Oryctolagus cuniculus: one gene and its partner. The protein of the gene in region 1 binds, or shares a complex with, the protein of each later gene. Links are inferred from orthologs where the notes say so. Each region holds a gene or a part of one and is shown on either strand. Other genes may lie near its edges.

Region 1 (5,858 bases):
GCTCAGTCACTAGATCACTACCATTTGCAGTAGTACTGGTGGGAAGAAAAGATCAGGCCATAAAAGTAAGAATAGACAAACTGCTTTGTGAGGGGAATTGATAGTGATAATGGGATTTTACATTGGATTCTGGCTCCTAGGTTGTTGGAGTGGGAGGGTAGGTGAGTTATAGTACCTAACACTAAGCCATATATCATAGGCACTCATTAATATTTGTCATGCTCATGAAAGCCACATTGCAGTGTATAGACCAATTGGAGGTGATAGAAGTCAAACATTAAAAACTGTTTCTTAACAAGGCATTAATAATACTGTTTTTTAATTTTATTATTTTTAGCTCACAGGAAACTAGGTATTGTTTTGGAAGAGGAGAATAGATGTAGGTTTGAGTGATGGCAGAGTAAAAGCCTTACTTTATGTTCATACTTTTTTGACTCATAAGTGGTTATTTTGACCATGTGCTACACATGCCTACTTTGCTAAGGTGAACAAGGCATAGTCTGGGCTCTCAAAAAGTCATGCTTTGTAACCACAACAAGATGATAACAGTGTTTAATCTAGGATTTGAAGAGACTTAGATTTATTAACTGAAATTGAATTTAGATGTAATGTAATTCCATTTATCCACTTTTTCTTGAGAAAAATGCCTAAGAAAGATAAATGATTTGGCCGCAATCATTTATATTTTATATACACATCATACATGTAGCCTGAAAGTAATTTTATCCAATATTTTAAGTAATTTTGTGCAATAAACAAAGAATGGATTTTCCATTTGTAGTATAATGTTTATGCTCACAAAGTTTCAGATTTTGGCTTGTTTTGATTTTTAGATTAGGTAAGCTCAATCTGTAGAAATGGCTCCACAGAAAAGATCTATCCCTTGGCATAATGGAAAAAGAGAAATTTCATTAGTGTAGAGGGTTGGGCAAAAAATCTCTCTAAGACGTTCAAGTATGCTGTTTGTTTTTTCTTTACTTAGAATTGACAGAAGAGTTCCTTGGGTCATTGTTGTGGTGTGTTGCTGCCTCCAATGCTGGGGGCCTGTATGAGCTCTTGTTCATGTCATGGATGTTCCATCTCAGATCCCGCTTCAAGCTAAAATGCCTGGGAAAGCAGCAGAGAATGGCCCACGTGCTTGGGCCCCTGCCTCCCACATGGGAGACTTGGATGAAGCTCCTGGTTCCTGGCTTCATCCTGCCCTGGCTGTTGCAGTCACTTAGGGAGTGATCCAGTGTATGGAAAATCCTTCTCTCTGTGTCTCCCTCTTTTTCTGTAACTCTGCCTTTCAAATAAATAAATAAATCTTTTTTTTTTTTTTTTTAAAGGGGGCAAACAACAGAGTTTCTGAGTACTGTGAAGGATTGTGGTGCATTGGTTTAAGCCCCTGCCTGCAATACCAGAATCCCAAATCAGAGCGCTGATTGGAATCCCAGCTGCTCTGCCTCCAATCCAGCTCACTGCTAGTGCACGTGGGAAAGCAGTGAAGATGACCCATGCCACCTATGCGGGAGACCTGGATAGAGTTCCAGGATTCTGGCTTAGGCCTGGTCCAGTCCTGGCCATTACTGCCAGTTGGGTAGTGAATCAGTAGATAGAAGATCTCTGTCTCTGTCACTGTGCCTTTCAAATAAATAAAATTCTTGAAGAGAAGAATTCCATAAAGATAGTTTCATAATGGTTCTGATACTACAAAGGATAATCTTTTTCTGAAACTCTGTGCTATATAATAGCTGATGATTAAAGAGTTGCTATGAAAAGATGGTTGAAGATAAAAACAAAAATTTCTTTAGGTTGCTAAAGTGGCAAAGAGGAAGTTTGATACTTTAAAAAATTGTTTTCATTATCCTTTGCACTTAGATGAGATTTGAGGTTATATTTTTGTGCTATGTAAGTTTTTAAATGGAAGAATTCCATAAATAGCTAGTAAAAATATGTTTGACCATGTATTGAGTTATTTTTTCATTTTTAAACTTTTAATGTTGTTTGCATTAGTTGTGGGAGAATAAACTAATGCAGTCTAGAGCAGTAGATGGATTTCATTCAGAAGAGCAACAACTTTTATTGCAAGTTCAACAGCAACATCAACCCCAGCAGCAACAGCATCACCACCACCACCACCATCAGCAAGCTCAGCCTCAGCAGACAGTACCTCAGCAAGCCCAGACCCAGCAGGTCCTTATTCCTGCATCACAGCAAGGTGAGACTAGATCTGTTTTCCTAACTACTTGGAAATTAAGTTGGTCATTTTAAAAGACTAGAAATACTCTAGGTCACTTGGATCTTGTTTTTAAAAGGTATTTCATAAACCTAAAAAAAAAAGTACTGATTTTGTTTTTCCCTTTTCTATGTATGTTTTTATGTATATAAATTTGTATAAAATGTGAGTCCTATTTGTAGAATAGTGATAGACAAATAATTACCTGATTGAAACCCTAAAATAGTATTCAGATACTTGTACTAATGTTTTTTAGGAAGTACATATAGTGGTGGCTTTCCTAAAATTTAAGTCAGATTTATAATTTTTTTTTAACTAAGATTTCATTGTTTTATATAGTAAAGTAGTTATTTCTTCATGAAACATTTTCCTTCAAAGGGATATTGGTGTTGTTTTTATGTCTTAAATCCTGAGTTTTGAACCATATGTTGGCATTCTGAAAATTCAGTACCATGGTAATTTCTGTGTCTAAATTAACAATTAAATTTCTTTTATGTGAATAGTTGATCTATATATCTTGATGTATATTATTACTCTGTTTAAAGGTATGAACAATGCACAATGCAAAACTATTTGTTTTTCATTTATTTTTAACTGAAAGGCTGAGAGAGAGAAAGGGAGAGAGAGATCCTTCTATCTACTGGTTTATTGTCCAAATGCCTGCAACAGTGTGGGCTGGGACAGCCTGAAACCAGGAGCTTGGAACTCAATCCAGTTCTCTCTTATGGGTGGCGGGTGCCTAAGTACTTGAGTCATCACCTGCTATCTCCTAAGAAAGATGAGGCTTCATTTTGACTCCTTTTAGGAACTCTATGAAATAGTTCTTAGCTCCATTGCTTCATAGCTGAGGCAAATCTGGGCCTTAAAAAGGCTGAGAAGCATGATCCATTATATGTAGCAAATATTTTCTGTCATAACAACTATGTTCAATTAAAAACTTACTAAGTATTCTAATTCAGTGAATCTTGATTGTTATTGGAGAAGAAGGTAAATGAAAAGCTTGTTTTAAGGTAACCATTTAGTTAACCTACATATATATGTGTATGACTTGAAATTGATAGTGAAGGGCAAGCATTGTGGAGCAGCCAGGTTAAACTGCTGCTTTTAATGCCTGCATACCACATCAGAGTACTGGTTGAAGTTCTGACTGACTGCTCTGCTTCTGATCCAGCTTCCAGCTAATGCACCTGAAAAGGCAGGAGATAATGGCCCAAGTACTTAAGTCCCCGCCACCCACTTGAGAAATCTGGATGGAGTTTTAGGTTCATGATTTCAGTCTTGTTCAACCCTGGCTATTGTAGGCATTTGAGGAGTGAACAGTGAATTCACAGTCTCTCTCTGTTTTTTTTTCTCTCTCTCTCTTTCAAATATATACATATATACATACATAATTCTTTTAAAAAAAGTGAAAAAAATGATAGTGATACACAGTGGAAAGGTCTTTTTGGGTTGTTTTGCTGTTTATATAAAGTAAGATTTAATATCTGCTTTAAATCTATCCTTTGTTATCAAATATTTTTAACTCTTAATCTTTTCTGATGACTGTTCCTCCTAATGCTTTCAAGCCTGGCATTAGGATTTTAGGTCATCATAAATTAAAATTTGATTTTCTTCACTCAGAGATTATGTGGATAATGGGATTGTCTGTCTGTTCTCTGAAATTTGCGGAATCAAACATTTAATGCCTTTTACACTTAAGTAACATCACCATTATTTTCAATTTCTACTTTTCGAACAATTAGTAACATCCTAGCAACTGTCAAATTGGGAGAAAAGGATTGTAGATTAAAAAAAGTAGTTATAACTGAATTTTGTTCCTAATGAATTAGTAGCTGTTGTGATAAGTATTTCATTTCCTCATCTTACTGAATTCCTTTGCAACCTTCAAATTTATCACTTAAATACTTAAATATTGATGTTTTCTGTTATGATACAGTTATACTAGAGCTTTAAATGCTGTAAAATGTATAACATTTTGAAGTATCAAGGGGTTGAGGGCATTTAAATGCAGAAAAAGTTTTCAGCATTAAATAACATACTTGTGATTATGAAATAGCCTTAGGGTTCCTTGTTTCCATGTGTGTTTATTTGATTTAATTATTTTGTAGCCACGGCACCTCAAGTTATTGTTCCTGATTCTAAGCTGATACAGCACATGAATGCATCAAACATGGTAAGACTCATAGTGTAGCACTTTGATTGGCTTTGCGTCTTCTAACTCAGATAGGGATCTTGCCTGGGTATGTTGTATATTAACAACTTGAAGTTTATTGAAGACTTGAACAAGACAGATATTTTATTTAGTTTCTTATATATTGTATTTAGCAGCAGATCTAAAGTTTAACTTGGTATTTCAGCATTAAGCTTCATAAAATTACGTAATTTTCTGTTTAAAAAGTACCAAAAGGTGTTTTATGGGAGCTCTTTTATCCCTGTTTGTTTAAAACTGGGTAATTCCCAATTCGAAGATACTCAGTAAAAATAGTTTTGATTTTTCTAATGGTGCTGTGTGCTATAGAAATCAACATTTTGAAAAAATATGTGATTTCATGAAAATGTGGTATGGTAATATAATTAATCAGAAAGATATTTCAAGGAATTTATATCATCAAACTAATTTTCCTGGTTCTTTTTTTGAAATGATGTAGTGTATTCATATTTGGGCTGTTTAATGAAATAGAAGAAAAAATTTTTAGTAGTCATTAAGTGAAAGATGGTTTCCTTATGGTATATCATTTCACAAATATTTATTCAGCTATTTGAGTATGTAGAAAGTGTGCAGCTGGTTACTGTGTCATGTTTATGCTAGTAGAAACTACTATGTCAGTTTGCCAGTAGAGGGAGAACTATTATCTTGCAAAACGTGAACGATAGGCCTTTTATGTTTGTAAATAATACTTGTCAACGATAAGTGCTAATACGTTCATTAAATTTGGATTACCTTTTTGTTTTGCTATATAGACAAAATTTATTTTATATTGAATAGTTGGGTATGTAGCTTAAAGATGAATGAATCTAGTAGACTGTAACAGGGAATTTCAGGCTCAAGATGTAGCAGCTACTTAGGACGTCAGGTGGCAACAGTAAGCATATTTTATTGGAAAGCTGTACTTAGAGCCTTAGATGGTAGTTAACCCAGTTTAGTATGATTTTCCAAGTTTGATTGAATTTTCTGGCCATTAACACTTCCAGAACACAGTTTTATTTGTTCCTCTAAGCTTATCCAAATTAGGAGTATTTGTAAAAATATATAAGCAGGCTGGCGCCGCGGTTCACTAGGCTAATCCTCCGCCTGCGGCGCTGGCACCCCGGGTTCTAGTCCCGGTCGGGGCACCGGATTCTGTCCTGGTTGCCCCTCTTCCAGGCTAGCTCTCTGCTGTGGCCAGGGAGTGCAGTGGAGGATGGCCCAAGTGCTTGGACCCTGCACCCCATGGGAGACCAGGAGAAGTACCTGGCTCCTGCCATCGGATCAGCGCGGTGCGCCGGCCGCGGCGGCCATTGGAGGGTGAACCAACGGCAAAGGGAGACCTTTCTCTCTGTCTCTCTCTCTCTCACTGTCCACTCTGCCTGTCAAAAAAAAAAAGTTTTAAAATCTTAAAATTTAGGAATTATAGATGAAGATACTAGGTGCTTTTGCCAC
Region 2 (5,484 bases), on another chromosome or scaffold:
AGAAATGAGACTCCCCGGGCGCTCAGCCAGCACGTCCCTGCATGGTCTCACGGGCTCCCTTGTGTCATAACCTTCCTTGAAACGGTTTTGGGGGCTGCTAAGGCTGAGTCAAGGCTGGTATCCACCGGATGGTGGCAGCTCACTGCCAGCACGCTGCAGGCATCCTGAGATGTTCCCGGGGACCCCTCAGAGAGCTGCCTCCCCAGAGACAGGTGCCTGCTGGACACTGAGAGGCGTGGCCCAGGCCTGGTGTCGCATCACTCCAGCACGCACTGCGGGATTGTTAGTGTATTCAGAACCTGTAAAAATTATAATAAATGTTTGAGGCTGCTTCCTTTTATGTAGTTTGTTTCCATATAGACTGTGATAGATGTCCCCAGCGGGAGTTCTGGCCCTGGCTCTGCCTAATACATGCTGGGGGGTTGGACAACTCTGCCTCTGAACCAGGTCTTCCCATCAGTAAAATGGGGGCAGTGGGGCCTTCCCCAGACACCTTGCTCCCTTGGCCCCTCTTGTCTGTCACCATTTTAGTGATAGGTTCGTCAGTGTCAGTAATCTCAGCCTGTGCACCACCTGGGCTCCCTTGCACATCTGCTTTGCTCTGGCCCACGTCTGCCAAATACTGATAGAGGAGTCAGAAGTGGACGCATTTCAGATCCCTGTGGGCCTTCCCCGGGCCCCGCGCCTCTCTGGTTACTCCCTGATACCTGTGAGGCTCCTGCAGCAGCTACCCACGTTTCATCGCATTCATCACATCCATGTTACACTCAGGAGATGACCGTAATTCTTAACCTACTGAGATGACAGGCAGGCAAGAACCGCCTCCTGCCCTTCCTGTGTCTCAGGAAGAGGTGCGCCTGCTGCTAAGGTGAACCCCTTCCTGGGTACTCTACTGCAGCCACATTCCATTTTAGGGTCTCTAGAGCCTTTTACGGAAGTGTCCACAAGTGCGCGACCCGGACTTGAGGGTGGAAGGGAAGGACATACACCATCATTGAGAGATGCTTTGCTGAAAGTTGCCACGCATTGTTTCCCATGGGTGTTCAAATTCACATCATCCTCAAAGGCCTCATGGTATGCCTATATGTATCTATTTAACCAGGTCTCTATGCATAGACCAGTCTTGTTTACCTTTTGCTATTACAGTACTGTCTTGAATGTCCCTGTAGCTTTGTTTACAACTGCAAACATCTTGGCAGAATGAATTTTTAGACGTATTATTGTTGATTCAAGGGCATATGCAGGTCTTGCCAAGTTACCTTGCAAGTTGGGTGAGACTGGTGGTGGGGTGGGGAGTAGAAAATGCGGGCCATGGTGCAGCCGCAGCCTCCCAGCGGCAGGGGGCGCTGCTCGCGCGTCTCGGCGGAAGCTGCGGGGGCCGCGCTGTCCGGCTTCCGGTGACAGAGCCGCGCAGGCGCGACGGGGGCGACGCGAGGGGCCGGCTAGGAGGCCTCAGGGGCGCGATGCCGTACGCTAATCAGCCCACGGTGCGCATCACCGAGCTCACTGACGAGAACGTCAAGTTCATCATCGAGAATACGGACCTGGCGTAAGGCTGCTGAGGGGAGAGGCTGGCGGCCCTGCCGAGCCGGCCCGAAGGGTGGGGGTGCCCTCCCACGGCGGCCACCGTGCCAGGGCTTTAGCTTTGGGAGCCCGGGGCCGGCCTGTCGGGGCTGCGGCGCCCTCACGCCTCTCGCTTTCTCGTCCTTCAGGGTGGCCAATTCTATCCGGAGGGTCTTCATCGCGGAGGTGCCTATAATAGGTAAGCGAGCCCCGCCGCACCCTACCGGGACCACTGGTTCCCCGGCTTCCCAAGGCCCCACGCACCTGTGCCGCCTCCAGGCCTGGCTTGGGGGTGGAGGTGCCGAGGCTGGGTCGCACCCGGTGCCTCTGGCCCGGCTGCCCCGTTGGCCACTTCGGCCCCCCTGCCGTGTGCCTCGCGGAGCAGCACGGGTTCGGCAGGGGCTGCCCTGGGCTCCGATGCGGTTTCCACGCGCGCGCTCGGTGGAACTTAGGCAAGTCGTGACCCTTCTGTGTGCTGCTGGTTCTCATCGGAGACATTGGACGCTGGTGTTACTCACCAGGCCGACGGCGGGGACCAGTGAGTGAGCGATTCTGATGGATGTGCACGGGGCTCGAGGACCTCGCAGCAGCGGCCCGCAGGGGTGGGAGGGCCTCTGGCCTCTGTGCCCCAGTGTTTTCTGCGTTGACTGTGCTTGTGTAAAATACCAGGGGTGTTTTGTGTCAGCTCAGTGAGTTTGCGTTTGGCAAAAGAGATGTTGTGGCTGCTGCATCAAGTGTTCAGACTCTGAAGGAAGCGGCACACACCAGCTGCTTGCTAAAGCCGCCGCCTCCGCCCCCCGTCGCCTCAGCCCCGCTGGGCCTCGGTGGGCCCCGCTTTTCACATTCTCAGCTCTGCAAATGCGCACCCATGCTGGGCAAACAAAGGCAGCTCAGACCCGGCCTCAAGGAATTCTCCAAGCCTGCGGTGGGGATGAGACACAAATCCGACACTGAGCAAAGCATGACCGCTGTGCTAAGGGGAGTCAGAGCTGGCCTTGTCCGAGCGGGGTTCAGAGGCCGGGGGTGCTCACGGCTCAGTCTGAAGCGCAGGCGGGACTCGGGTTTTAGGCTCGGGGGATTTGGAGCTGCACGAGGAAGGAAAGTGCGGGCCAGGAAGCAGCCGGGGTCCGGGGGTACGTGAAGAGGCAGAGGGGCCTGGGTTGGGGCCTGAGACGACTGGTCCCCTTCTGACCTCTGCTCCCAGCGGCCATGCCCCCCCTGGCAGCTGGGCAGCAGCCCTGTTTGATTTCGGCGTTTGTATGAATGAGTGAGTAAAGTGGGGTTGAAGTCACGTGGGTGTGAGACAGTCCTCACCGTGCTGCCAGCTCGTTGCTGGCAAGGACCGGTTTCTCTGTAAGCTGCCTGGTTCCTGACAGGACGCAGTAACCTGTGTCGGCTGAGTGATGAGGAAATGCTCGTTGGGTGGGCCAGCGTTACATCCTAAGACGCGGTTCCTGCTGTCGGCCTGTTCGTTGTTCGTGAGTTTCCCTCATCGCAGTGGCTGAATCGTTTGTGTTCCTGGCTGTTTGGCACTGGCACAGGTGGCAGATACATTGGCTTCTCACAGAAATCGGCAGCAGGTGTGCCTGCTGCGGTGAGGCGCTCTGAGCCGGCGTTCCCGTGTGGTCCAGGAAGCCCCTGCCTGAACTCCCCCCCGGGCGGGCAGGGGCCGCGGTGCCTGCGTGGTGCCTGAGCCCTGCCCGGTGCTGCTGCAGTCAGTCCCCGGCCGCCCGGCCTGGCCCGGCCCGGGCATTCCTGAATCTTGGCACTCACTGCCCTGAGCTTTGGGGAATTTGGTTGCTGAATGAAGTCTCACCTCCGCCCCTTCTCGTTTTAGCCATTGACTGGGTTCAGATCGATGCCAACTCCTCCGTCCTGCATGACGAGTTCATCGCGCACCGGCTCGGTGAGTGCTGCTCTGGGGGAGGTGAAGGGACGGTGCGGCCGATGCCGCAGGAGGCCTCCCCACCGCGGGGCGCCTGTGGGCTCTCGTTTTGGGCATGGCTGTCTGGCTGCCTTGAAAGCGCGGGTCTGTGTCTTACAGGCTTGATTCCTCTCACGAGCGACGACATCGTGGACAAGTTGCAGAACTCCCGGGTATGCTGCGAGAGTGGCTGTGTGTGGCTCGGGTAGGGGCTTAAGGGCCCACAGGACTTGTCCTTGGCATCTGGCTGCCAGCATGGACTGCGCCGTGGTTGTAGGGAGACGGCGGAGATGTTGTCCAGAGCCCGAGGCAGGTGTCTTTGGGCTTGGTGCTGATGAGGATCCCATTGGTTATGTCCGTCTGGAAGTCTCAGGAGCCAGTCCCACAGAGGGGCAGCCACCAGGGGGCCTGCCTGTGCAGCACAGGGGCTGTTGCTTCCACAGCACCACCACCACCCCTGCCCCGGGGTCGGGGGGCAGAGGCACAGAGGTTGGTGTAGGTGCGGGCAAGGAGCAGAGGGGCTGGGCGCTGTCTCACAAGAGCAGCACCCCCTGCACGCAGGCAGCGGCTCAGGGAGCGGGCCGAGCAGGCAGCTGTGGGGCTTCCCGGCTCTCCGTGGGCTCCTTCCAGCTTCCCTCTCCGCTCAGGACTGCACCTGTGAGGAGTTCTGCCCCGAGTGCTCGGTGGAGTTCACCCTGGACGTGCGGTGTAACGAAGACCAGACTCGCCACGTCACGTCCCGAGACCTCATCTCCAACAGCCCCCGCGTCATCCCGGTCAGTGTCTGGAGCGCCCCCTCCCCCGGGGCTCTGCCGTGGCCGGCTTTGGCGGCCGGAGGGCTCGGGTCCCGGTCTGATGCCTACCAGCCTGGTGCTGGTTTCTGCTCGGGCAGCAGCAGCACTGGGGCTGGCAGCTGCTGGGGTGAGAGAAGCGGCCGCTGATGATGCAGTTTAGGTTTTCTTTGTGTCCGTCACCCAAGGGCCCTCCGAGAGGCCGGGGTCTTGACCACACCATGGAGCAGGCCCCTCCGCCGGCCCCTCTCGCATCCCGCGCTTGCGCAGAGTGCAGTCTGGAGGTGCTGTGGGAGGAGCAGCTGACAATTGCCTGGGTTTGGGCTCCCTACAGGTGACGTCCCGGAATCGAGACAATGACCCCAACGACTACGTGGAGCAGGACGGTAAGGGCTGGAGAGCGTGCGTGCGTCACCTTTGATAGAGCCTCTCCTGCCGCCCGAACTCGTGTAAAGTGGCCGAGGGCCCGTGTTTGCGTCGCGTGTCACCCTCAGCGGCACTGTCGGTCCACGCGGGGAGAGCCACGCTCCTGGCCGGGACTGACTCGCACCTCTCCTCGCAGACATCCTCATCGTCAAGCTGAGAAAGGGCCAGGAGCTGAGACTCCGAGCCTACGCCAAAAAGGGCTTTGGCAAGGAACACGCCAAGTGGAACCCCACCGCGGGGGTTGCTTTCGAGTACGATCCAGACAATGCCCTGAGGCACACGGTGTACCCCAAGCCCGAGGAATGGTATGCTCCAGGGGGAAGGCGGGTGTGCAGAGGGCTGCTGGTGCCGGAGGTGGGGCAGGCGGTCTGGGAACAGCAGCCTCTGCTTCTCTGACCTCAGGCCAAAGAGCGAGTACTCCGAGCTGGATGAGGATGAGTCTCAGGCTCCCTATGACCCCAACGGCAAGCCCGAGAGGTGAGACCTGGTCGCACGGGGGGCGGGGTCTTAGTGCATGGCATCTGCCGCAGGCTCAGTCATCAGCCGAGGGGCCGCTGCTGCTCACCACTGAACTAAAGTAGTGCTGTGTGCACATGCCCTCTGGTTACGAGAAAGGGGCTCTCCACTCACCCAGATGGTTCCCATTCTGATTTCCAGCCCCTAGTGTGCAGACTGTTCAGGTCCAAGCCAATTTACACACATTTACGTACATAGTTAGAGGCAGAGCAGGGCTCCATCTGCCCGTTCCCTGCTCAAATGCTTGCAACAGCCAGGCCTGGG

The links. The genes of interacting proteins can lie anywhere in the genome.
Region 2: GTF2A1 (region 1) and POLR2C share a complex: the UniProt entries of both Homo sapiens proteins name them as parts of the TBP-based Pol II pre-initiation complex. The link is inferred for Oryctolagus cuniculus from reciprocal best matches to the Homo sapiens genes GTF2A1 and POLR2C.

Annotation. Positions count from the first base shown.
Region 1 is NC_091451.1:27,040,001-27,045,858, reverse strand, and holds part of GTF2A1 (transcription initiation factor IIA subunit 1), read left to right. Parts: intron 1-1,995; coding exon 1,996-2,200; intron 2,201-3,754; exon of another isoform or gene 3,755-3,898; intron 3,899-4,326; coding exon 4,327-4,391; intron 4,392-5,858. UniProt on the Homo sapiens protein: TFIIA is a component of the transcription machinery of RNA polymerase II and plays an important role in transcriptional activation. TFIIA in a complex with TBP mediates transcriptional activity.
Region 2 is NC_091449.1:41,014,719-41,020,202, forward strand, and holds the start of POLR2C (DNA-directed RNA polymerase II subunit RPB3), read left to right. Parts: upstream 1-1,373; 5' UTR 1,374-1,463; coding exon 1,464-1,549; intron 1,550-1,712; coding exon 1,713-1,762; intron 1,763-3,400; coding exon 3,401-3,469; intron 3,470-3,607; coding exon 3,608-3,660; intron 3,661-4,134; coding exon 4,135-4,263; intron 4,264-4,612; coding exon 4,613-4,664; intron 4,665-4,840; coding exon 4,841-5,009; intron 5,010-5,106; coding exon 5,107-5,181; intron 5,182-5,484. UniProt on the Homo sapiens protein: Core component of RNA polymerase II (Pol II), a DNA-dependent RNA polymerase which synthesizes mRNA precursors and many functional non-coding RNAs using the four ribonucleoside triphosphates as substrates.